3 linked regions of the Rhinolophus ferrumequinum genome follow. The protein of the gene in region 3 interacts with the protein of the main gene of each other region in a pairwise test. Links are inferred from orthologs where the notes say so. Each region holds a gene or a part of one and is shown on either strand. Other genes may lie near its edges.

The links. The genes of interacting proteins can lie anywhere in the genome.
Region 1: the proteins of CWF19L2 (region 3) and NAB2 interact in binary tests that used the Homo sapiens proteins (3 or more experiments, as listed by UniProt). The two-hybrid records come from large-scale screens. The link is inferred for Rhinolophus ferrumequinum from reciprocal best matches to the Homo sapiens genes CWF19L2 and NAB2.
Region 2: the proteins of CWF19L2 (region 3) and MAD1L1 interact in binary tests that used the Homo sapiens proteins (3 or more experiments, as listed by UniProt). The two-hybrid records come from large-scale screens. The link is inferred for Rhinolophus ferrumequinum from reciprocal best matches to the Homo sapiens genes CWF19L2 and MAD1L1.

Annotation. Positions count from the first base shown.
Region 1 is NC_046293.1:56,142,386-56,149,736, reverse strand, and holds the start of NAB2 (NGFI-A-binding protein 2), read right to left. Parts: upstream 3,013-7,351; 5' UTR 2,854-3,012; coding exon 2,771-2,853; intron 1,334-2,770; coding exon 460-1,333; intron 47-459; coding exon 1-46. UniProt on the Homo sapiens protein: Acts as a transcriptional repressor for zinc finger transcription factors EGR1 and EGR2. Isoform 2 lacks repression ability.
Region 2 is NC_046307.1:43,474,494-43,482,477, reverse strand, and holds the start of MAD1L1 (mitotic spindle assembly checkpoint protein MAD1), read right to left. Parts: upstream 3,013-7,984; 5' UTR 2,873-3,012; coding exon 2,823-2,872; intron 2,357-2,822; coding exon 2,197-2,356; intron 1-2,196. Other genes in the region: MRM2 (rRNA methyltransferase 2, mitochondrial), read right to left, coding at 6,161-6,603. UniProt on the Homo sapiens protein: Component of the spindle-assembly checkpoint that prevents the onset of anaphase until all chromosomes are properly aligned at the metaphase plate.
Region 3 is NC_046294.1:76,275,378-76,282,962, reverse strand, and holds the start of CWF19L2 (CWF19-like protein 2), read left to right. Parts: upstream 1-4,580; 5' UTR 4,581-4,610; coding exon 4,611-4,703; intron 4,704-6,299; coding exon 6,300-6,410; intron 6,411-7,180; coding exon 7,181-7,300; intron 7,301-7,585.

The DNA.
Region 1 (7,351 bases), on a different chromosome or scaffold from region 3:
TGTTGTCCCTCATGCAGAACTGGGCAGCAGCCTCATTGATGGTCAGCTGTGGACAAAACCGCCAGAGCAGTCAGAATCCTAACTCCCCACTGCCTGTCCAGATGTCCTCACAATCCTTCACCATCAGACAAATGAGGCCCACCCGTCAGATGCTTGCTTGGGTTTTGACACTATGCCGATTTCTGAGGAAGACAGAGGTCAGCACCCACAGCTTTTTAGGGGCCTGGAGCCTCCTTCACTCTTGTGTGGTCCTGAGCAGATAGGACAGGTAGGCTCTGCTTCCCCTCACTTGAGGAGGAAAGCATTGCAAGAGCTGGGGTTGGAGTGGGAGAGAAGGGGTCAGGGGCGGGGGTCCTGGTCAAGGGGTAATGAAACAGACTTGGGAGTGTGCAGATTCTCAGAGGTGAGTAGGTTGAGGCCTGGCAGCCAAGAGCAATCCTGGGAGGCTGGGGTCCTCACCTCATGCAGGCTGAGCTGCTTGCCCTCCCGCCGCTTAGAGTCAAAGCGGCCATAGATAATGCTGTATTTGCGGATCTCCTCCTCCTTCTGGCTGTCGTTATCATCCATCTCAAAGATATGACCCACACTCCGCGCCAGCTTCTTGTTCAGCTTCAGAAGGGAAGTCACCTCCCCAGAATCCCCCCTTGGGAAGCTCCGGAAGATTCTCTCCACACTCTCCACCACCATGCGGACCATCTCTGGCTCCAGTCTATCCGGACCACTCCCAGACCCAGTTGCTGCCAAACCCCCAGCCCCGTTCCCCTCAGGGACTCCTCCTGCTGCAGGTGGGGAGAAGGAGGGTGAGCCAGCCTCCTCTTCTCCTCCCACCCCAACATCAGACTCTGGAGTGCTCCGGCCTGGCCAGATTCGGGCATCCCCAGTCCCAGGTCCCCCAGGCAGTGGTGACAGCTTCTCTCCAAGTTCAAGGGGGCTCTTTGGGCTAAAACTGCGAGCACTGCCCGCCTTTTCCCCTGGGCTGCCATGCCCATTGCTCATGCTCCCTTTCCGGGTGCCTGCAGTCTCTGATATCTTGAAGAGCGGAATACTGGAGACTGGCACAGCAGGCACTGGCTGACTGAAGAGCCCTGGATTGGTGGCCCACTCTCTCAGTGCCTTCTGCAGGCGTCGGACATGGAGGGGCTTGGTGGCCATGCCCACAAGTGCCATGATTTCCAGGAACTCCTCCTCACCCGCCTCGCACAGTTGCTGCACGTCGTCCCCTCCCTGCTGGATGAAGGTCTCATAGTAGGAAAGAAGATTGGCGCGCTGCAGGACCCGGTACAGCTGCAGCTCCCCCAGTGTCCGAGGAAGTGCCATGGCTCGGGCACTAGGCCTGAGGAGGAGGAGCACAAGAGATAGAGGGGGGCAGTCAGTCCTCCTACTGGGTACCAACCCACACTCACAATTGTCTTCTTTCCTGCCTGCTCCTCTTCCTCTCTTTTGAATGCCCTTTCTGCCCAGTGCCCAGACTATGAGAATCAGGCACTGTTCAGAGGCACAGACACGCCAGTGCCATCCCAACTGACCAGAAGTACCAAAAGCCAGCCCAGTCTCTGCAGAAGTCAAAGTCTCTTAGCCTCTATCCACAGCTTTTACCTTTCTGGCCTGGGCAAGGAGACCTTGAGCACTGAGGCGAGTCAGCACACCCCAGGATGGCTAGTTCTTCTCCAGAACATGGTCCTCACCTTCCATTCTAAATACCAGTAGGTCTGCCCATTACTTGGTGATATCTCACACTGAGGTGAATGTAGGACACCCCCTTCCCATCCTCCCCATAGGGGATACCTTGGACCATTGCTGGCCAGCTTCACTCCCTAGTGGCATCCTGCCCATGTGCCTGAGAGGGGTGTGGCCCCTTAGCTGTCCTTTCCCATTCTGTGAGCCCGGTGGACCTCTGCTCTCCTCGCTACCCTCAGCTTTTTCCACCAGTTAGGCATTCTTAGCACACTCTTGCTCTCTCCTTCCAGGACCTCCCCTCTGCTCAGTGCCACCCCTTCCCCCTCTAGCCCCTCTCGCAGCAGTGACCTTCCCCAACTGCTCTGTAGGTAGGCCTGTCCCTTCAACTCAGGCAGGGGGGAGGGGAGGAGTGCCTCAATTGTTCTTCTCTGGGCCTGTTCCGCCCACACAAACTCCTACAGTGGTAGCGTCTGCAGGCGAAAACCGCCGGGGGGCTCCCGCCTACCCTCTCCCTTATTTTCCACCCACATCTCAAGTGGAGTGGGGGAGCGGCTCAAGTCCTCGTGAGGGAGGGGCTGCACGCCGAAACTCCCCTCCCCACACTGTAAATAAAGGTACAGAAAATCCGAAAGGACGCCTAGGGTATCCCCTGCTTCTCCACAGCCCCGTTGATACTCTCTTGGATCAAAAGCGCCGGCTTCTGCCGGATCCCTGGGCTCGCGTGCCCCATGCCAAAGACAGGCTGAGCCAGCGGAGCGGCCCTCCCCCGACAATGCTACCAGCTAGAGTTCCAAGGCTTCCCCTGGCGCTTGGGGGCCCCCACGTTCTTTGCAGGGGGCTCACATGCCAGGTCATGCCCATAGAGTAAACGGGGGATGAATTAGATACTGTTCTTTCACATCCAGCTTCATCAAATCTCCTGCCTGCTCCCAGAGCCCCCTAATTTGAAGACTCACCCCCTTTTCCATCAGTCTCCACCCCCCACCTCCGTCCCGCTTCCCCTCGTCCTCTCAGCGACCTCCGCCCTCCGGACCCCTTTCCGAGTCCAGCTCCACCCATCTCCACTCCCCGCCGCTTCCCTTTGCCCACTAACTTGAGTCTGGGCTGCGGAGTCCGGCGGGCGCTGTCCCCTCCGCCAGGCGGCTGCTCGGCTGTGGGGGAGGGCGCTCTGTGCATGGACGGCCGGAGACCACCGGGGCTACCACTCTTGATGCCCGGCGCTCGGCGCCTGGTGCGCGCTGCGCTCTTCCCGGCGCGCGAGGCCGTGTCCGCCGCGGTCCGGGCTCCGTCCCTCCCTCCACGTCTCCTCTCTCCAAGCCTCCGCGACTCTGTCTGTGCCTCTGCCCCCCCACTCCCCGGTTGCGCTTGCCGCCTCTCCGCGCCTCCGCCCCCGCAGGACGCACGGGGAGCGAGGCCCCGCGCGGTGCTGGCTGCTGGGCGGGCGGAGGGCGTGGGTAGAGATGGGGGCGGAGGCCGGGGGCGGGGGGCGGGCGCCCGGGCCTCTCCGAGGGCCTCGGAGACACCGCGACGGAGAGGAGAGGCGGAGACTGGGGGGGAGGGGGTGTACAGCAGGAGGCGGGGGCGGGGATTCGGAGCCGGGGCGCCGAGGTGGGACTAGGGTGACCGAGGCCGGGATAGGGAAGGCGGGTTTGGGGACCTAGCGGGAGGGGTGAGGTCGCTCCATGCCACCCACGCCGGATGCACAGCCGGCCCTCTTCTCGCCCACTTACCCACGTGAGCACCCAGGAGGCGACATTCCTCCCCCCTCCGCGCGGAGAGCGGAGTTTCTCAACCACGCACAGGTACACAAAGACACAGAGAAACGCACGGACGTACACACGCGCCTAAACAACTACGCGGACGCCCACTGCCCACACTCAGGACTCGCGGTGGTGGACGTGTGAATGTTAGGGGTGAGCCGAGCAAAGTTGGCGGAGTTTCAGGGTGCGCGGCTCCTCTCGTGCATGCATCTGATTCCCATAGTGTGTGCATTTGTGGCAGTTCTGTGCGATTGGGGCTTTGCAGGAATCTCTTAGGTATCCCAGCGCTCTTCTCCGGCCAGGAAAGGAGTAATTTGAAGAGACCACTTTGGGAAACCCAGGCCTTCCCCATCCCTGCCTCTAGTTCAAGCTGAAGTTCGGGGAACAGGAATGGGCGGGTTATGCTAGAACCTACCACTTAGACGCGTTCATTAGACGCGTAGGGTTTTGTTAGCGCATAGGTCAGGCAGGGAGGGGAGGGATACCCCGCCTTCGTCTACTATTCGTACCCTATTTGCCGAGGATGGGAACCTGGTCCTGGGGAATCCTGTGTGGCAAAGCTGGGATATGGAGAATACCCCTTCTGGGGGGACGTCTATTAGGGAACTTCGCTCGAGAGTCTAGTGGAGAGTCTAGTGGAGGCTGGGCAGGAGGCCGGGAGCCGATGGCGCGGCTCCCTACGGAGGAGCTGGAGGGAGGAGCTCCTTCAAGGATCCTAGCCCCTTCCACAACCCACCATCCCTCCCCCCTTTGTTTCTTCTAGCCCCATCTGGTTCCCATTACACTCCCGCCCACGGCTGGGAGGACTGGGTTGGGGACAGGCGGGGGTTCTGAGGGCCTGGCCCTGCGGCTCTAGGCCCAGAGGAAACGATGGCTGGGGGAAGGGGGAGGGAGACTGGAAGCGAACAGACTGGCCAGAGGCAAGGTTCCCTCGGTCTGAAGCCTCAACTCCGCCCCATCATTCCGCAGTTCTGAGTGGCCCGGGCCCGGCAGGGCGTGGGCGGCGTGTGCGGAGGCTGGTTCTACATTCCGGCCTGGCGAGGGGACCTTTCGGTCTCCGCTGGGGGCAGAAGAGGAGGGGTACATCACTGGAGGGATTTCAGTAGCTAAAATTCTCTTTCCCGCCCCATTAAGCCCCAACCCAGTGTGGGGTGATAGGACAAAGCTGAGTCCCTCCCTATCCCCTATCCCGCGACTGGGGGGCACGGCTAGACAGGCTCCTTGGGGGGGTACTCTCCGACCCCCTGTGTTCTGTGTGGGCGCCCTTCCCCCATCCCCCTCTGGTTATTTTGGAGTCTGGGCTGCCAGTCGCTGGCCGCGGGTTTCCACGTGCCTCCTCCCTCCCCCTGCCCACGCTCCCCGTGACGCACATCCTCCGCCCACGCAGCCTCTGCTGAGGCGCCCCCCTCCCTCCCACTTGGCCCTCTTGGGGCGGTGCTGAGCCCCCGTATCCTGAGGGAGACGCTGGACTGAGGAAGAGGGCAGTTACCCACTGGGCGCCGGGCGCCTAGGTCCCACCCCAGGAAAGAAGACGAGGGAGGAGCCAATTCAGAGGCTTTCACTCCTCTGTCCTGGGGCGGGTACTCGGCCGAAGAGGGGAGAAAAATCCCGCCGACAGAACCTGCCATCTCCCCTAGGTGTCTGTCGGCGTAGGAACCTGTGTGTGAAACTCCTGGGCGTTTCTATCTTTGTTTCTCAGGGTTGTCAGGAGGTTCAAATGAGAGGACGTATGTGAAAACTCTGTAAATACATTGTAAAATGCTAAGCAAATTTAAGATATTATAGCCAGTTCGTACTTCTGTAGCCAGAGACTATGTATTTATTTGTATGTGTTTCTTTACATCCACTGTGTATCTGTGCCTCTGTCTAGGTTTGTATGTGAGCCCCTATGTGTGGATTTTAAAATGTATACATTTAAAAAATCATTGACTTGTCAAGCCCCACCAAAAGCCCAGAGCACCCCCGCAGCCAGGGCTGCTGAGATGTCTGTTCTTTGCTTCCCTCCCACTTCTACCACCCCCATCTTCCCTCCTACTCCCTTCCGTTGAGAACAAGGAATTTCCAGTCTTTAGCAAAAGGAGAGACACAGAGACAGAGAGGCTGAGACTATGAGAAACTATAGAAAAACATAAAGATAAGGGGTGGTGTGTGTGTGGAAGATGACAAAAAGTGGGTGGGACAAAGATCTTCATTTCTTCTCGTTTTCTGCGTGGGCTCCATTTTCTCCAGGGTGGCCCAGGACCACTTCCCTACTTGACTTATCTGCTCCCCCCACCTCAGAGTTCTCATAGGCACGCAGAGCTACGGATCCCCTTTAATGAAATGATTTATTGTCAATGAATAATTTATTAATAAATAATTGACTAATTTATTGTCTATAGTGGAAGAGTCCAGGATGGGAAACAGTATCCTCAGTCCCAATTTTCCAAGAAAAGGGGAAAAGACGGTGAAGAAATTGGGTGAAAGAGGAGTGAGGAAATCCCGAACCTGGCGGACTCTCATTCCCAGGGATGTGTACATTTTAATTAGCAGATTGCACGTCTAACCCGCATCCCCTCACCCCGCCCAATTTTTCACCAGGCTGAATCCAACTTACTTTGCAAGGTCTGGCTCAAATGTCACCTTCTTGGACCCTCTCCTTCCTGTACTCCCTCTGGGCAGAATTGCTCCCATCCCTCAGTGGCCTCATGGCTCTGTGTACACTCACTTATAGTTGCTTGTTTCACCCATAGCCCAAGACCTCTGCGGGGTAGCTCGGGTATCTGGTGGGCCCTCTGAAACAAACGGGTTGATGATGCTATTTCTAGGCCCGAGCAACTCTGAAAAGGGCAATTGACATAGATTTTACTCCAAAAGGAGCTGAACGTGGGCAAAACTGTTTAAGTGGAGACATTTGTTTTCCATGTCTCCATCCTTCTTAAAGTTTCCAGCAAGTCTCACAAGTCTGGTTCCTTGACCTTCTAAAATGTCCACTATTCTGGTAAATTAATTCATGCCCAGGTGTTAAAGGTAGAAGGCTGAAATCTTTGCTGATAATAGAAAAATATAAAGTAATGATCCTTTTTTCCTTTTTCAGTAACATATTAGAATTATAGTCTAAGGAGTGTTATCCTTCAATTTAGGCATCTTTGAGGAGGTGCTTCACTGTGCCTCAAAAAGACAAAGGAACTGCCTTTAAGGAGCGCATAGACTCGTAGGGGAGATGATAGACGGATAAACAACTACAATGTAATGCAATAATACGGGGTACAAACGGTGCCATAAGTATAGGAAGCCAGTGATCTATTCTGCCTGGAGTTGTGAGGGACAGGTTTTGACAGACATCTAAAGGAGATGATGCAGCCTGGGATTCTGAAGTCTGAACAGATTTCCAGAAGGAAGCCACAGTCAAGTCAGAGAGAGCAGAATGTAAACTTACCTGGAAGTATGAAACAATATGTTTGAGAAACTAGAAATTGTTAATTATTGCTGGATGGGTGGTGGTGGTACTTAAAAAGGAGCCCAGGGAGGTGTACGAGGCCATTAAGGATATTATAGACTAGGGCTTCTCAAACTATAGTAAAGGACCAATTTAAGAAATCCCCATCTATTGTCCACTACGTCTATAAAATACACAAAAAGTGAGTTAGTAGAAAAATGAAATAAAATCCCCATTTTTATTAGATTCAATAAATATAAAACTTTTCTGTCAAATTGCTATAAAAGTTTCTAAATGCTTACACTTAATTTCTGAAATTGTTTCATTGCAGATTGGTAACAAACTTTGAATAACATTGCTATAGTTGTGTCTTTACATCTACCTTTCAGATCATAGTAAGGACCCTGGGCTTCATCACAGGAGATACTGTAGAACCATAAAGACTTTGTAACATGGGAGTGACATATTCAGATCTGCATTTAGGAGTAGTGTGGAG
Region 2 (7,984 bases), on a different chromosome or scaffold from region 3:
GCCAAGGGTGAGAAATCCCGGTCAGAGAAGAGGCATTTTCTCCACCCCCTCCCCCACATTCACTGCGGGTCCGAGTCCACACTTCCTTTACCCTCCGATACTTGCTCATTTCAATGCCCACCTGGTGACATTTGGTGGAGGTTCCTAGCTCTACACTCCATCAAACTCAACGGCCTTCCTCGTCTCACTATGTCTGCAGCTAGGACTTCAGCTCTAGGGGGCACCGCTGCAAAGGGACCAGGAGTCCCACACACACAGCCGGTGATTCATGGGCCATGTTCTGACTGTATTTGAAGGAAAATAACTGAAACATTATTTGTGTATTTGCACAAACACTGATGTGTAGCAGAGCAGACCATAAACACCATCAAACGGAAAGAGGAACCTTAAAAAATGGGAAGGGGAGAGGCCTGGTGGGCAAGAAATACTGACCTCTGCCTCCAGGCTCCGCAGACCTGCAGCTTCTCAGTTCCCTCACCTGCCAGTTGGGGAAGGCACAAGAAGAAGGCCAGAGCCACTGACCAAGGTCCTGGGACAGGTCAGGGTCCTGGGGCACATACTTGGGCAGCCTGACTGACCAGTTCACTCTGGCTCTGCCACTCATTCACTGACCCCCTCCCTGGGGGAGCCTTAGAGCACTACTAGCTGAGTGAGAACTGGGACCTCCAAAATTCTAGATTCTGTAGTGCTAACAGACAGGCCAAACGTTCCCAGGCATTTGCATCAATAAAATTATAACTTTTTTGGACCAGTGAGCAAGGATCCAAAGAAAACTACAATCTATTACCACTATCATTTCACAGAAAAGCTTTTTAACACCAAAAGCAAAAGTAAAAGAGCAAATTTCAGAATAAAGACCAGTCCTGGCCAAAAAACGACGGTAAGCAACTTAGTTCACTAACAAACATACGGTAATTCCATGCTACAGATGCGTACAAACACACCGGCTTTCACTCTGCCTGGGCCTTGTCGGGGCTCCCAGAGCAACAGGAAGCCATGTCCGACAGAGGACACCAGCTAGAAAGGCTCCAGCAGCACACGTGGCGTGGACAGAAAAGGAGGACCACAGCAGAGACATCAGGGCCGCCTACACAGCGGTCCTTGGCAAGGCTGCAGACCCCACCCCAGCCCTGCACGGACCCAGTGAGCCTTGCCGCACTGGAACTGACCACAACTCTCTAGAACTGGAAGTGGTTCAGGAGACCTGACCCCTTACAACTGTGTCTACACTGAGCACTGCCAAGAACTTGGAACAAAGTGAAATAAAACTAGAATCAGAGTAAAACTGTAAAAATCATGGCAGAGTAAAACTGTAAAAATCACCCCATGGCAGATGGAAGCCAAGATCTGCAAATGGCCCCCACAGTCTGAGACCATGACATACCCAGTCCTTCGCTCACGGCCATGGCTTTCCCGCCAGGCTGACCAAGGACCGGTGTTTACAACACAGCCTTCCCATGTGTTACCCCTTCAGGGGAACCAGCAGCTGGCTGGAAAATCAGTGCTCGTGCTCTCAGGCAGTCTGGGTTTCCCCCAATTAAATGAATGAAGCGGCTTCCGATCCTATCGTTAGCGTCTGAGCTCATGAATGTGACTGCCACACCGAGCACCAGACCCACTCTGGGTGCTGATACACCAGACTTTTAAGTGGGACAGTTCAGGGCCAGACAACGGCTTCCAACTACCTTCCCAAACTGTGAATCCCCACATTAGAGATCTGGGGAACAGCCAGCTGGCCTCCAGGCTGAGGAAACACTGGCCCGCCTCAGCTACAGGAAGTCCTCACTGCGTGTCATCCACAGGTTCTGAGACTGAGCAAAATGACATGTAATGAAACCAGCTTTACCACAAGCTAATTGATATAAACAAAAGTTCCTGCGACATTTCATCAATGTCACCACAAAACGACATTATTCGAGGACCTGCCGTGAATGGAACTTGAACCAGCCTATCTAAGGTCAGGACTCTTTACCGAGAGGCCCCTATTACAGCACGTGGCACTCACCTAAACTATGTGGAACTTGAACAGGTCCTACCTAAGGGTAAGCATCTTTACTTATGAGACCCCAGTGCCAACATTTAGAGAACCCTATACCGACACACGGCACTCACCTGCACCACACAGAACTTGAACAGGCCCCCCCCTGAGGACAGGTATCTTCGTCCAGAGCCCCCACCCCGACACACGGCACTCACCTGGATACTCTGCTGGTACTGCATCTGCAGAGAACCTTGGGCAGAGGTGGAAACATCCAGTCCAACTCCTCCTTCCACTCGCTGGGAAATGAAGTTGTTCAAAGATCTCAGGGAGGACAGGACAGTGGTGTTTTCCCCCAGGTCTTCCATGGCCACGTCCCTTGTGGAAGAAGAGAAGGGAGAGGTCACAGCAAGCCTTTCTGTACAACTTCAGCTCTGCCAGCGGCCCAGAGACACCCCCCGCCCCAACGCTCTCTCAGAGCCTTTAAAACAGTCCAGTGTCCGTAAGCACATTCTTCAGGGTTATCTGGGAGCCCACACTGCTGATGTGCCAGAGGAAATGGAGGCATAAAAAGGCAACCCGCCACGCCACTGACTGTCAGTGATGACCTGCACACCAGCAGGACAGACAGACAGCTCCCAGGAGACGGTGGTCAGCAGTCAGGCGGTACATCTCCCACTAAGCACTCACAAAAAGCTAGCTTCTGGGACTCGGAAACAACGCGCCCAACACTGGCAATAAGGCTGATGGTGAGCACAGCAATGCTAACTAGCTGCTAACAATGACGTTAATAAATTACTGCTATTTTCACCCGTTTACCAATAAAAAGGTGTCTGACACGTACAGGGCAGCAAGACTCCTCAAGCCTGTTTCCTCATCTGTAACTGAGGTCATGAAACCCACGTTTGCAAGTAGTTGTGAAGATTACAGTGTCTGTAGGAAGTCTTCAAGTGGCAGACGGTGCAACTATTGACACCGTTTGACTGTCATTCTGCTTGTAGTCTGACATACGACAGCTCAATCTTCACCACAGGTGGACGAATTAGGTCTTTTTGCACGTATTTTAGAGATGATATAACACAAGGCTTCGAAACGTTCCAGAACTGAGTTTGGAACCTGGGTCTGTGGCTCCAAAGGTGGAGTGTGCTCCACAGCCAACGCGTAGAGGGCTGAGGACAAGCACCAGCAAACGACCTGCACCCCCAAACCTGAGCTTATGATGGCCTCACACCAGCCTGTCCACAGCCCTGCCTGATGGAGGAGGGGGGCTCCCAGGCACAGCCCAAAGGTGTGAATTCCTACAGGTGATGACTTTTTTTCTCTCCGGAAAAGCTGGCTCTGATTCCCCGAGTATTCCGTGGAAAACACCTCCCTCCCAAAAAAGACAGGTGAGGCATGTCAGTTTGATTCTGAATTTCCCATTTCACGAGCGCCTGGCCTGGCACGCAGCGCCCGCGCCTCCTCCCTGCACATCGCACCTGTTCTCTCCACCGCTCTTCCTACCACAGCGGAGAACGACCGCAACAGGGGGCACGGGGGCCGTCCGAGTGCGGGCGCCCGCAGGGGCAGGCCTGCCCGGCGCGGGCGGGCGGCAGAGCCGTGCCCCGCGGAGCCCACACTCCGGCCGGCCGGGAGCCCCATTAGGCCAGGGCCACGCTTCCCGCGCAGAGGGGACGAAATGCGGCCAGTCTGTCCTCTCCGCACGACGCGCCATCCCGTGAGAGCCGCGCAGGCAGCACTGGGGTGAACCGCGCACGCTGTCAACCGCCGCGGCTCGGGCTAAGGCGGCAGCTCCCACTCGGTCCTCGGGACCCCGAGCCTCCGACCTTCCGGCCCCCCCACCACTGCATCTCACCTGCTCCCCGCAGGCCCCGCCACCCCACGGCCGGGCCCTGCGCCGCCCGACACGTCCCCCGCTCGCGCCAGCGGCCTCTGCCTCGGACGACGCGCAAGCTGCCGCTCCGCCGGGGCGCGGGCGCGGGGCGGGTGACTCCCCGCCCTCCACGGGCACGGGCAGGAGGCCGCCCGGCCCGGAGGACGCGCAGGGGAGGCTGCGGCGCGGCTCTCCCGGGAAGCGCGGCTCCGGGAGGCCGCCGGCCGCCTCGGCCCCGGCAGCTGAGCCCCCGACCGTGGCTGCCTGCCCCGCGCCCTCTCCGGCCCCGCCGACACCGGCCACGCCGGCTGCTCCTTCCCGCAGAGGAAGCCCGGGGGCCGCAGGGACGCCGAGAGAAGCGGGGCTCGGGACGACGGAGCGGGAAGGCCGCACGGGCACAGGCCGAGGGCGCGGACGGCAGACGCGGGGCGGCGGGGACGCCGACGGGGCGCCGGCTCCGGACCCGGCCGGGGCGAGGGCGCAGGGGGCGGCGCCCAGCCTGACCTCGGCCCGCAGCCCAGCGCCGGTCCCGGCGCTCGGGGCCGCCCCGCACCACAACGCCCACCCCCGGCGCGGCCCCGCCCGGCTCCCGGGCGCCCACCCGGGCCCGGCCCCTCACCTCGCCTCGCCTCGCCTCGCCTCACCTCACCGGCCCCGTCAGCGCGCGGCCGCCGTCGCCGCTCGGATCTCCCTCCTCTCCTCGCGTTCCCGCGCACCGCGAGACGTGAGGCTGAGCTCTCGCGAGACCTGGGCGCGGCTGGCCGTAATGCTCCGGGGCTGCGCACCGGCCGGTCCTGCAGGCTCCGCGGAGGCTCCCAGATCCGCGCGCCGCCGGGGAACCCGGGTCCGAGAGGGCTCGGAACCCAGGGCCGGCCCACGGGGCCAGCGGGCTGCCCCAGCTCCACGCAGGACAGGCTTCCAGTAGGGCGGCTGCCTCGCGCCGTATTCTGTAGAATAGCACCGCCCAGGGTCCTCGTAGGGCCAAACTTTTGTCCAGGCTTGGCTAGTCCCAAAATCTTGCTAGCACAGTATTTACTTGAATGAATGCGTTCTTTCACTTGTATCTGGAACCACTGGGAAAAGCAAACTGCTATGCTCCTAGACTGCCCTCCCACGTCGAGGCGCGGGCTCCCGTCTAGGTCCCCTTTGTCCGGGGCACAGGCAGCCGACGGCCAGTGGCCCCTCCTGGAATGACTGCAACCTCGGTCTGTCCGGGAGCACGTATCCCGCCCGGTTTTTGAATTCCATCCCCTCCTCCTGCCCATCCCGGGCTACGGACTACGTGCCCAGCGTCTTCACTGAATTCCCTTCTTCCAGAAGACAAAACAAATTTGTGTGGCCGGAATCAATGGGATGGGGAGAGCTTGTGGTGCTGGTAGAACAGTGTTCCCTGGACTTAAGTAGCTGGCTGCAATCGAAAATGAAAAACAAAAAAACTGCTGCCTGCAGCCAGGCAGCTGGACCAAGCTGGGACCCTGATGGAAACTCCTGGGCATCCTTTCCCCCACTGCTCCTTGGGATTCAATCAGCATCATAGTTGATAAACTCTACTAGAGGGATGAGCACACCTCCAGGAAACGGCTATGAAGAAACCAGAAATTAAAAAAAAAAAACTAAAAGCATGGAAATCCCTTAAGATAATACAATCTATATTCTTTTATGAAGCTGTACAGAGTTCCTGGAAGAGTAAAAGAAAATAAATCAACACCACATCGCTGCTTGCTTTGGCAATTACTTTTACTGTCTAGGGAGCCTGGAGTAGTACAGCAACGTGTATTTCCAGCAAAAATGAAAGCGCACCCGCCCCACGCATAAATTCATACCGAATGTCTGCCCTAATTGCTCTGGGAATTCTTGCTGCTTAACAAACTGATGTGTTTCCAGATCATTCACTAGAGAGATGGAAATTAATCCCCAGATTGAAATTTCAGGTTTTTCCGCATAATACTGTATAGCCAAACAACAACTGGAAACCTGTGTTGTGCTCTCAGAGCAATGGTGGAAACCTGCTTCTCTGTAATTAGCTAAGTCTGTAAGATGAGCAAGTAACGTGAAGGTGTTCATGTCTATCTTCAGCTCTGCCTCAGCACAATCATTTTTATCCTTCCCTCAGTCTGTTTTTTATCGTCTGTCATGGCCACTGAATATAGTCTGTCCTATGTTTTTGTTTTCCAAAAGGTCCCCCACTTATCCTGCCTGCTGCATCCCAGATCTAGCTCGGACCTCGCCCCACCCCACATTTGCCACATTTCAGGAAAGCGCACAGCCTACATATGCAGCGAAAAGGACCAGAAATGGCAGAAGAAACCTCAGTTCTTCACAGACCCCTTTGCTCTCCGGTATTGTGTGGCCAAGAGGTATACCTCTGATGATTCTTTCCTGCTGGCCTCTGGTTTCACAGTCCTCGTGTTCTGGAATTCCTCTGTCAGTCTCCTCTGTAAGCGATGGCTCTGACTTCCAGCCCAGGTTTTACAAAGGAGTGTTCCCCCAGGGAGCAGGATGTCTGGGACCATGTCCAGGAGGGACAAGCACAGGCCAATGATCCTGTCGTGATCAAGGCCCCGGATCCCTGTGGCATTGGGTGCCATGTCACTCAGAATCACATCTGCTCTCCCACCAGGAAGCAGTTCTTGGATTCTCTGGAAGGTTCCCGGGTCAGTCACATTAGCAGGGCACAAAAACGTTGCTCCTTCCAGGGGTGATATGTGAAGAAGATCTACCCCAAGCACAAAGCCAACAGGAGCGCTGGCCTCTAAGGAAGGAATGGTGAGTGCATTATTTATTTACACCCTGAATCTTCCCACAAAAATACATGGAACAAAGTAATAAAGTCAGGACCAAGGAAAAGAGCTAATGTGCAAATATGTGGACACGGATCTTTTCCCACTTTCTATACATCCTACAAAAATACATGGTGGGAGCCGGCCTGGTGGCTCAGGCGGTTAGAGTTCCATGCTCCTAACTCCGAAGGCTGCTGGTTCGATTCCCACATGGGCCAGTGGGCTCTCAACCACAAGGTTGCCAGTTCAATTCCTGGAGTCCCACAAGGGATGGTGGGCCCTGCCCCCCTGCAACTAAGATTGAACACGGCCCCTTGAGCTGAGCTGCCACTAAGCTCCCAGATGGCTCAGTTGGTTGGAGCGCGTCCTCTCAACCACAAGGTTGCCGGTTCGACTCCCACAAGGGATGGTGGGCTGCGCCCCCTGCAACTAACAACAGTAACTGGAGCTGAGCTGCGCCCTCCACAACTAAGATTGAAAGGACAACAACTCGACTTGGAAAAAAAGTCCTGGAGTACACACTGTTCCCTCAATAAAGTCCTGTTCCCCTTCCCCAATAAAATCTTTAAAAAAAAAAAAACGCATGGTGGAGGAATGATGGTCCTTCACTCCCCAGGGCCAGAGAGGCAAAGTGACTGCCCCAGAGCGGAAGGCAGACCTGGGGCCACACCACAGGACTCCACTCCAACTCTGATTTCATTTCACTCCCCGAGGCTGCTCTCCCTAAGGGTTCTTATCTCTGAGTGCATTTCTTGATAAACTAAAACAGAAAATGACACACTAGTATATCAAGTGCCTCTGGACTAAATCAACAAATCCATTCTGCAGCTTAATCCAATTTCTTTACATGTAGAAACTGCTAGAAACAAGCCGGGGGGGGGGGGGGGAGGGGAGATGCAACATAAGGTCCAAACATTGCTACCTTGCCCGTATTTGAGTAACAACAGTTGTGAGATTCAAGGTCACCGTTGCACCTAAAGCAACTTGCTGCCTGCACGACTGCTGTCCCCAGACTCCACCTCCCCTCCTCTCAGGCGGCACCCATATTCAAGACCTCAGTCTTCACAGGCCCTGGCACCCACTCTCTGCGTCGCTTCCCTGCACTGAGGGCTTTGCTCTGCTGATACCCCTCAGGGTTGATAAGGGTACAGTCATAGATTTGCTAGTTCAGTCTGTTTAGTAAAAAGGCTGCTCCACTGGGGGAGGAGGGAAATGTGTGTTTTATTTCTATCTAAAGATTAGAAGTCTAGGTATTTTGCAGAGCACATTTTCCAAAGGTGCAAACCCTCCATTCTCAGCCCTGTTCAGTGGGACATCTGACATCTCACTCAGGTACTTATACCCTCTCCTTCA
Region 3 (7,585 bases):
CACTTCAGAATACAGGTTTGCAGTTTCTTCCAAGCTGAACATAGTTTTTACCATACGATTCAACAATTACATTCCTAGGCATTTACCCAACTGATTTGAAAACTTGTGTCTACACAAAACCTTGTATGTGAATGTTTATACAAGACCTGACAATTAAGTTCACGAACTTGTTGTAAGTGTTGCTAACCTTTTTTTTTATATCAGAGGGATTATTTATTATGAATTTGTACCAACTGGACAAACAGTTAACCAAAGTTATTATTTGGAAGTGTTGAAAAGGCTGCGTGAAAAAGCTAGATGACCTGAACTTTTTGCCAACAGTTCATGGCTCTTGCATCACGACAATGCACCAGCTCACACGGCACTGTCTGTGAGGGAGTTTTTAGCCAGCAAACGAATAACTGTATTGGAACACCCTCCCTACTCACCTGATATGGCCCCCAATGACCTCTTTCTTTACCCGAAGATAAAGGAAATGTTGAAAGGAAGATATTTTGATGACATTCAGGACATCAAGTGTGTTACAGCCACAGCTCTGATGGCCATTCCAGAGAAAGAGTTCCAAAATTGCTTTGAAGGGTGGACTAGGCACTGGTGTTAGTGCATAGCTTCCCAAGGGGAGTACTTAGAAGGTGACAGTAGTGATATTCAGCAATGAGGTATGCAGCACTTTTTCTAGGATGAGTTTGCAAACTTAGTTTTCTGACCTCGTTGTAGATTTATTTATAACTACCCCAAACTGTAAGCAACCAAGATGTCTTTTAATAGGTGACTGGATAGATAAATGATGGTACATCCATACAGTGGAATGCTATTCAGTGATTGAAAAAAAAGCTATCAAGACACAGAAACACATGGATGAACCTTAAATTCATATTGCTCAGTAAAAGAAGCCAGTCTATAAAGGCTACATACTGTATGATCCCAATTATATGACATTCTAGAAAAAGTAAAACTACGGAAACAGTAAAAAGAGCAGTGATGGCCAATTGTTTGAGGGAAAGTAGGAAGGTTGAATAGGTGAAACATGGGATATTTCAGGGTGGTGAAACTATTTGTTGTGATATTCTACTGGTGGATACACAACATTGGCATTTGTCAAAACCTATAGAAGTATACAGCACCAAAGTGAACCTTAATGTTTGCAACATTTAAAAAAATTCTATAGGAGGTGTGGGGATTCAAGAATGAAATGCAGAACAACACAAAAGAATGTGTTTCAAATGTAGGAAACAACTTCATTGAAGGGGGTGGGGGAAAAGGTGCTGACATAAGTAATTTTGGAAATGAGTGAAGTCTGTAAGACTAAAATAAAACTATATATAAGCACTGTAATTTAATTGATAAACTTGAGCTGAATAATTAAACGGATGGAGGACTGTGGGAGCCTGGTTTCTCATTGCTGGAATGGGAATTTACAGATAGGCAAGAGGAGGCTAGAATGATCTATGTGGCAATAGAATGGGTAATATCAGTATGAACTCATGTATCTTAGTATAGATACAGACGGTCAAACAGAAATGTGTACACACATGGGTTGGAATATAAACATATTCATCTTTGTCAGTTAAGGGGCCTAGAAGGAATAACACTCCAGTAGCACTGAGCACAGTTTGCGTATCTTAGTTTCTAATACCATTCTCCAAGAAAAGGCACCAGAGCTTTTTGGAGAAATGATTGATTCTAGAACTGAGACAGGAAATACACAAGATGTGTCTGGAGCATCTTGTCACGCCAGACAGTAAGGAAGTGCTAAAACAAAATTAAACCCTATAATGATGAGGGCCAACCGAAAGAGCTCCCAATGGCCAGAGGTGGAACAATTTGAATAAGAAAATAAAATAGCATTGGATTTTAACCAAAAGTGTAAAATAAATATCCACGAGTCCATATTGATAAATAAATAATTGCATAACTAAATAAATGGGGGATAAGAGACAAATTTCCTATGCAGAAAAATTTGAAATAATTGATGTAGATACTCCATGCTGAAGAAGGTGCAACATAAACCCCTACTCCTTACATGTTAGAGTCACATAGTGACTTTCTTCCAAAGACTACAGTATGGAAAGGGAGGGAAAAAAAGAGCAACTTTACAGTGCAGAAACCTGACAAGTACGACCTCAGCCAGGTAATCAAGATTAACATCCTCAATGATAATCATGAGAAAAATCCTAACTCAGGTGCATTCTACAAAAATACCTGACCAATCATCCTTAAAATTGCAAAGGTCATCAAAACAAGAAAAGTTTGAGCAACTGTCGAAGGCCTGAGGAGCCTAAGGAGAGATGATGACTAAGTGTAATGTGATTAACTGGGTGGGATACTGGAACAGGAAAAGGACATTAGGTAAAAAAGGCTAAGGAAATTTAAATAAAGCACAGTCAAATCTGGGACAATTTGAGAAAATAAATATTGTTAATGTATTATCCCTCCGAATAAAAATATGAATCTATTGAATAAAACAAATCATGAGTCCAGACTGATATAAAATGAATAATTTGAAAGTTTGATGAGGAATTTGCATAGCTTTAAGAACTGACCCCCAAAATACTTGTTAATTACAAAGGGAAAAGGAGTAACTTTGCAGTGAAGTTTGGCAGACAACACTTTATTGAAATGTTCAGAGTTAGCATCACTGGAAATGGAACAAATGGAAATTGTGTGTTACTTGATAGGACGCAATGAGAATAGTCACACTTCTTAATAGTTCTGCTCGAAATGCCTAACCTGAGTCCAACCACAAAGAAACCTCAGGCAAACCCACGTTGAGTGTCATTCTATAACATCTGTCCTGGAATCTTCATGACTCTTTTATAGTGAGTTGTGTTCACGTGACCTATTTCTGGTTCACAAGATTTAAATGGAAGAAACTGGACTAGGCTTTAGGAAAAGTCATAAATTTTCTTAAAAAGGGGTAGACTAAGCTGGCATACACTTTTTGCCCTTTGTTCTACCCTTTTATTCTTACATCTTATAGATGCTATGCATAGATATGGAGGAATGCAATGCATTCCTTGTGATTGTGAAGAACTTAAGTCACAGATTAAGTGTTACAAAGCAGAAAAGGAGAAACAACCTGATTTCTTCAGCAATTTCACCATAGCTTCATGCTCTGTACTACATTTTCCCTTGTTTAATTAAATCATGGATGTCTAGTATCAGATGTGGCCAAATGCAAACTAATCAAAACAACTTCCTTTTCCCTTGTTTTTCTATATCAACCTATCTACTTCCCCTTCCTGATCCCAACATTTTTTTTGTTGGTCGTTTTATTGGTCTTGCCCTGTATTTACAAATTCACTTATGGACATCTGTTTTATGATGTTGAGCCTTCTTGAAGCACATGATATACCTTTTCATTTGTTCTAGTCTTCTTTTGTGCCTCAAGTAGGATTTAAAAGTTTTTGTCATAATTTTGCATGTTTCTACTATAAATACTATTTGTTCTTATTTGCCACATAATTGATGTGGGGTGGGGGAGACGTTTTTCCCCAAAAGAATCTGAAAAGACTTTTAATGTTATTTTAGTTAGTAATAAAAAAAATCAGTCAAGGTATAATTAAGGGGTTAAATATTTCAAGGTCAATTTGTAAATTAAAATTCACTTTTCTGTAACAAAAATACAATGTGTATATTCTATTTTACATATCAAACAAGTAAACATTACATGCTCAAGGTCAAGATTTTTACAGATTGGTAAAGCAGAAACTCCTGGGAAAGCTTCGTGCAAACACAAATTTAAGTTTACAAAACCTGGAAAGAAAGCATATTTATTTAATCTGGTTTATACTATTTTTAATGTCTTTAAGGTATCTAGTTTATATTTACTCTCCGGCCTTCTTTATCTTTGATTATAAGTGTGAATTCAGTGTGTTGTATTCTCAAAACCCTTGAACAGTACTTCAGAATGTCTTCATGGAACTTAAAGTTTGGAAGATACAAACATAAAACAATAAAAATCACACAAATAGGTAATTGCACACTGTCATGAAAAATGATTGGATGGATCTGAGCAAATAATACGAGATTAAATAAAAATGTAACATTTATTAACAGCTTAAATAAGTACCGATAAATTATGGAGTACAGTACAACACTCACATGACTGTTTCATATACTGGGAAAAAAAATCCACCAAAGCAAACCACCGAATCTTCAAAGCAATTTTGCCCTTCCGACTACCTTTCCGGCCAGCCTCCCGTCAGTTCATTCCTCCAGCACAGGGAAATTCTTTGGTTAGAAGGGCCCTTTGGTGGAAAACTTTTGAGATGTACGAACTTAACCTGTATGAGCTTCTAACTTACTCCGGGGATTTTAAGAGGAAATAGCTGAGAATGCTATTATCGTGCAAAGCGCATAATAAATGTATAGCGACATTAATCCTGCTCAGGGCGATCCCAATATACGAAGAAGGACAACTCCTCACTTTAATCTTCAAGTCTCTAAAACCTGGCGTTGGAGTAACCACAGGAACCAGATCCGCGCATGCTCTCTTGGTGGAACTGCGCCGGTTCTCTCCCTAGTCGGAAGTCCGGTTTGTTTATTAATTACGACAGTCGTAAACTAAGACTTCGTGATGGTTTCCTACTTTTACGACATCAACAACTATGGCGGCTGCCAGTGGTCGGTTTGAAAGTGAGAGGAGTATCCAAGAGCGTAAAGAGCAGACACGGATAGCCAGGGCCGAGGTGTTGCGCCAGGTAACTCCGTTTTGGGGTTTTGGGAACCATTTAGAATTGTGGCTGTTTCCTGGGAGCTAGGCCTCTGGCTCTCCTTCCTCCCTACCCCTTTTCTTCTCTCTCCATCAGTATCTCACCTTATCTGGGTCGAAACGGGGGGGGCGGTCTCCCTGTGGGATGCCTGCAAATTTTTGAGTATCTTCTCCCTCTTAGATGCTCTGGCAGGCTCCAATTGCTCATTTTCTTTTCAGGAAGACCTGTTTCTTTCCTCTGAGTTTCATTAACTTTTTACATAATGCGTTGACATTTCTATCACCTGGGCTGCGCACTTTCGAGGGACTACGCAACTAATGAGTCTCCCCAGCGTATGTCCCAGCCCCAGCCCTTACTCCTGCTGTTTGTGAAATGAAAATGTTCGTTTTCAGGAACACATGTAAGGCGCATTGGAGTAAATTGCGTTTGACCGTTTCATTCTCCTTTTGTACTATGGGTATCAGTTCCTGGCTTATTGTAAACCCTTACCGACCCAAACAAGGGTTGACACAACAGACCCAGGAAATTGCACCCCTTGAAAAAGACTGACAAACTATTTCTCATTAAGATTGAGATGCAGAGAGGTAACTTATAAAGAATGGAGGAAGTAAACTATGGAATTATCTGACAAAATGTAGGAAGTGTGGCAATGAAGGGAAAAATGAAGCAGAGAGCATCATAAAGTGTAAGTGAGAGTTTTTGTTTTTATTTGTTTTAAGATGGAAGAGTTTAAACGAGTTTAAATGCAGATGGGAAGTAGCAGGTAAAGGAGACAGGAAGGAGAAGATGTAATGACTACAGCCAGATTTTAAAGGGGAAGAGCGAGTGGGTGATTAATCTTAGACAGGTGAAAGGTCAGTATTGTTTTTTGATTTCAGCATATGAAACATATGTGTAACAAATATTTTTTATTTTTGTCTCTCTGATATTTCAGGCAGTGTTTGGAGGCAGTAGGTTTTGTAAGCTGTGATAAATTTTATAATAGAGATAAGCATAGAGTTTGAGAAGGACCAAGCCCAGCTTTCGAGTTTGGGAAGAGAATGAAAAAGCAGGAACAACCTTTTAGGAAGAACTTTATTTGAATATTGTTGAAGGATGAATAAAAATTCGCAATATGATCATTTTGTTTTTAGAAAGATGATTTTTCCTGAAGCATTTTTGGGGAGTGAGTAGAGAGTTATGGGCATTGCTGATGGAATGTATGGGGTATGGTGGTCATTCTCCTAACAATTAAAAATGTCTCAGGCGGTAGCACTGGGATGGTGAAGGGAAAAGAGTTTCAAGTCATACTTGAGATTGGAATCTTAAGGAAAGGGGAGGGTCTAGAATAGGTCCCAAGATTCTGTCCTTGATTGGTGGCTCTATTCACTAGAGATTCGTAATGGGCAAGGAGAGGGTCTTTTGTTTGTTTTTTTGTATTTTTGAAAATCTTTCCTACACTTTGGTAGAAGCGTAGGAAAAAATTACTGGTAAGAGACAGACTGTTGATTCATGAGAACATGTATGAAAGTGGGAGATTTTGTTTTACTTTTTTGTGAAACGCAGTTGGATCAATTGTTAATTTTTCTTTTTTCAATATTTTAGGCTAAAGCTAATTTTGAAAAGGAAGAAAGACGTAAAGAACTTAAACGACTTCGAGGTGAGGATACATGGATGTTACCTGATGTGAATGAGCGGATTGAACAATTCTCACAGGTGAATACTGTCAGGTCTACTTGATGTAAACACGTCGGACTGTTTCTGCATTTAATCTTGCAAGTTAATCTTGGAGGAGCAACTTTATAGACGGTTTTCAAGTTACAGAATGAATATCACATAGTGGGCATTACAGAATAGTTTTATCTCTTTGGCAGAAATAATATATTTTAATATTTTGGATATTGTGACTTTGGGTAGATTTTGTTACTTGAGTTGGCTGGTAGAGTTTCTGGCCCACTTGTAAGCTTATGGGTCTAAAAATGTATGCGTTTCAAGCTTAATGTCATGTGGGTTTTTCGTTTTTCTTCTTGTCTCAATTCTTGTTTTCTCTTTCCGTAATTTTAATTTATGCTATCTTGTTATATTTTAAATGTCCCAATAATCTTCTATAAATTCTTTTGGGGCCATAGAAGATATATACATATAAATGCATACACACATAAGTTTGTGTATATATGTTTTTATTTGATTATATCTGTTTGTCAAGTGAATCTACAAATAAATGAAAACTTCCCTCATATTTTTGGATAAGATATCTCAGCTCTATGATTTATTAGTAGTGCGTGTATTATAGAAGCATGTTAAGTTTTCTTAGAAGATTTTGTTCATGTAGTCATATTTCTTGTCTTAATTCATAAAAAAATTAAATATTTTTGGAACAGATTTTTTTTCTCTTAACATATTTCCTTTTAAAGTAAGATAAAACTAAATTCCTTTCTTAGTTTTGAAGAAGGTAATTCTTACCTCTTCAAAATGATTATTTATAGGAAAACTCTATGAAGAAAAAGAAGAAAAAAGACAAGCGTTCAAAAAAAGTAAAGAAAGAGAAGAAAAAAAAGAATAAGAAACAGAAGCATGAAAAAAACGAGTCAACTGATAGTTCATCAGTACGTATGTACTAAAACTAATCAAAGCACCTACTTGAGAAAATTTTATTTAAAGAAATAGTGTATGAGAACTTAAAAAATATTACCAGTTAGGATATGAAAAAGCTTGGGAGACATTTACTTGGAGATGTCAAGGAAATATTGGAAATAAGAATCTTAGGTTACAGAGAAAGGTAAGAAGATGGAGACGAAATTTGGGAATCATTGCTTATTAGAATAAGTGAATTGCCTCAGGAAACTGAAAAGAAAGATAAACACCAACACTGAGGAGCCAGACAGGAAGTA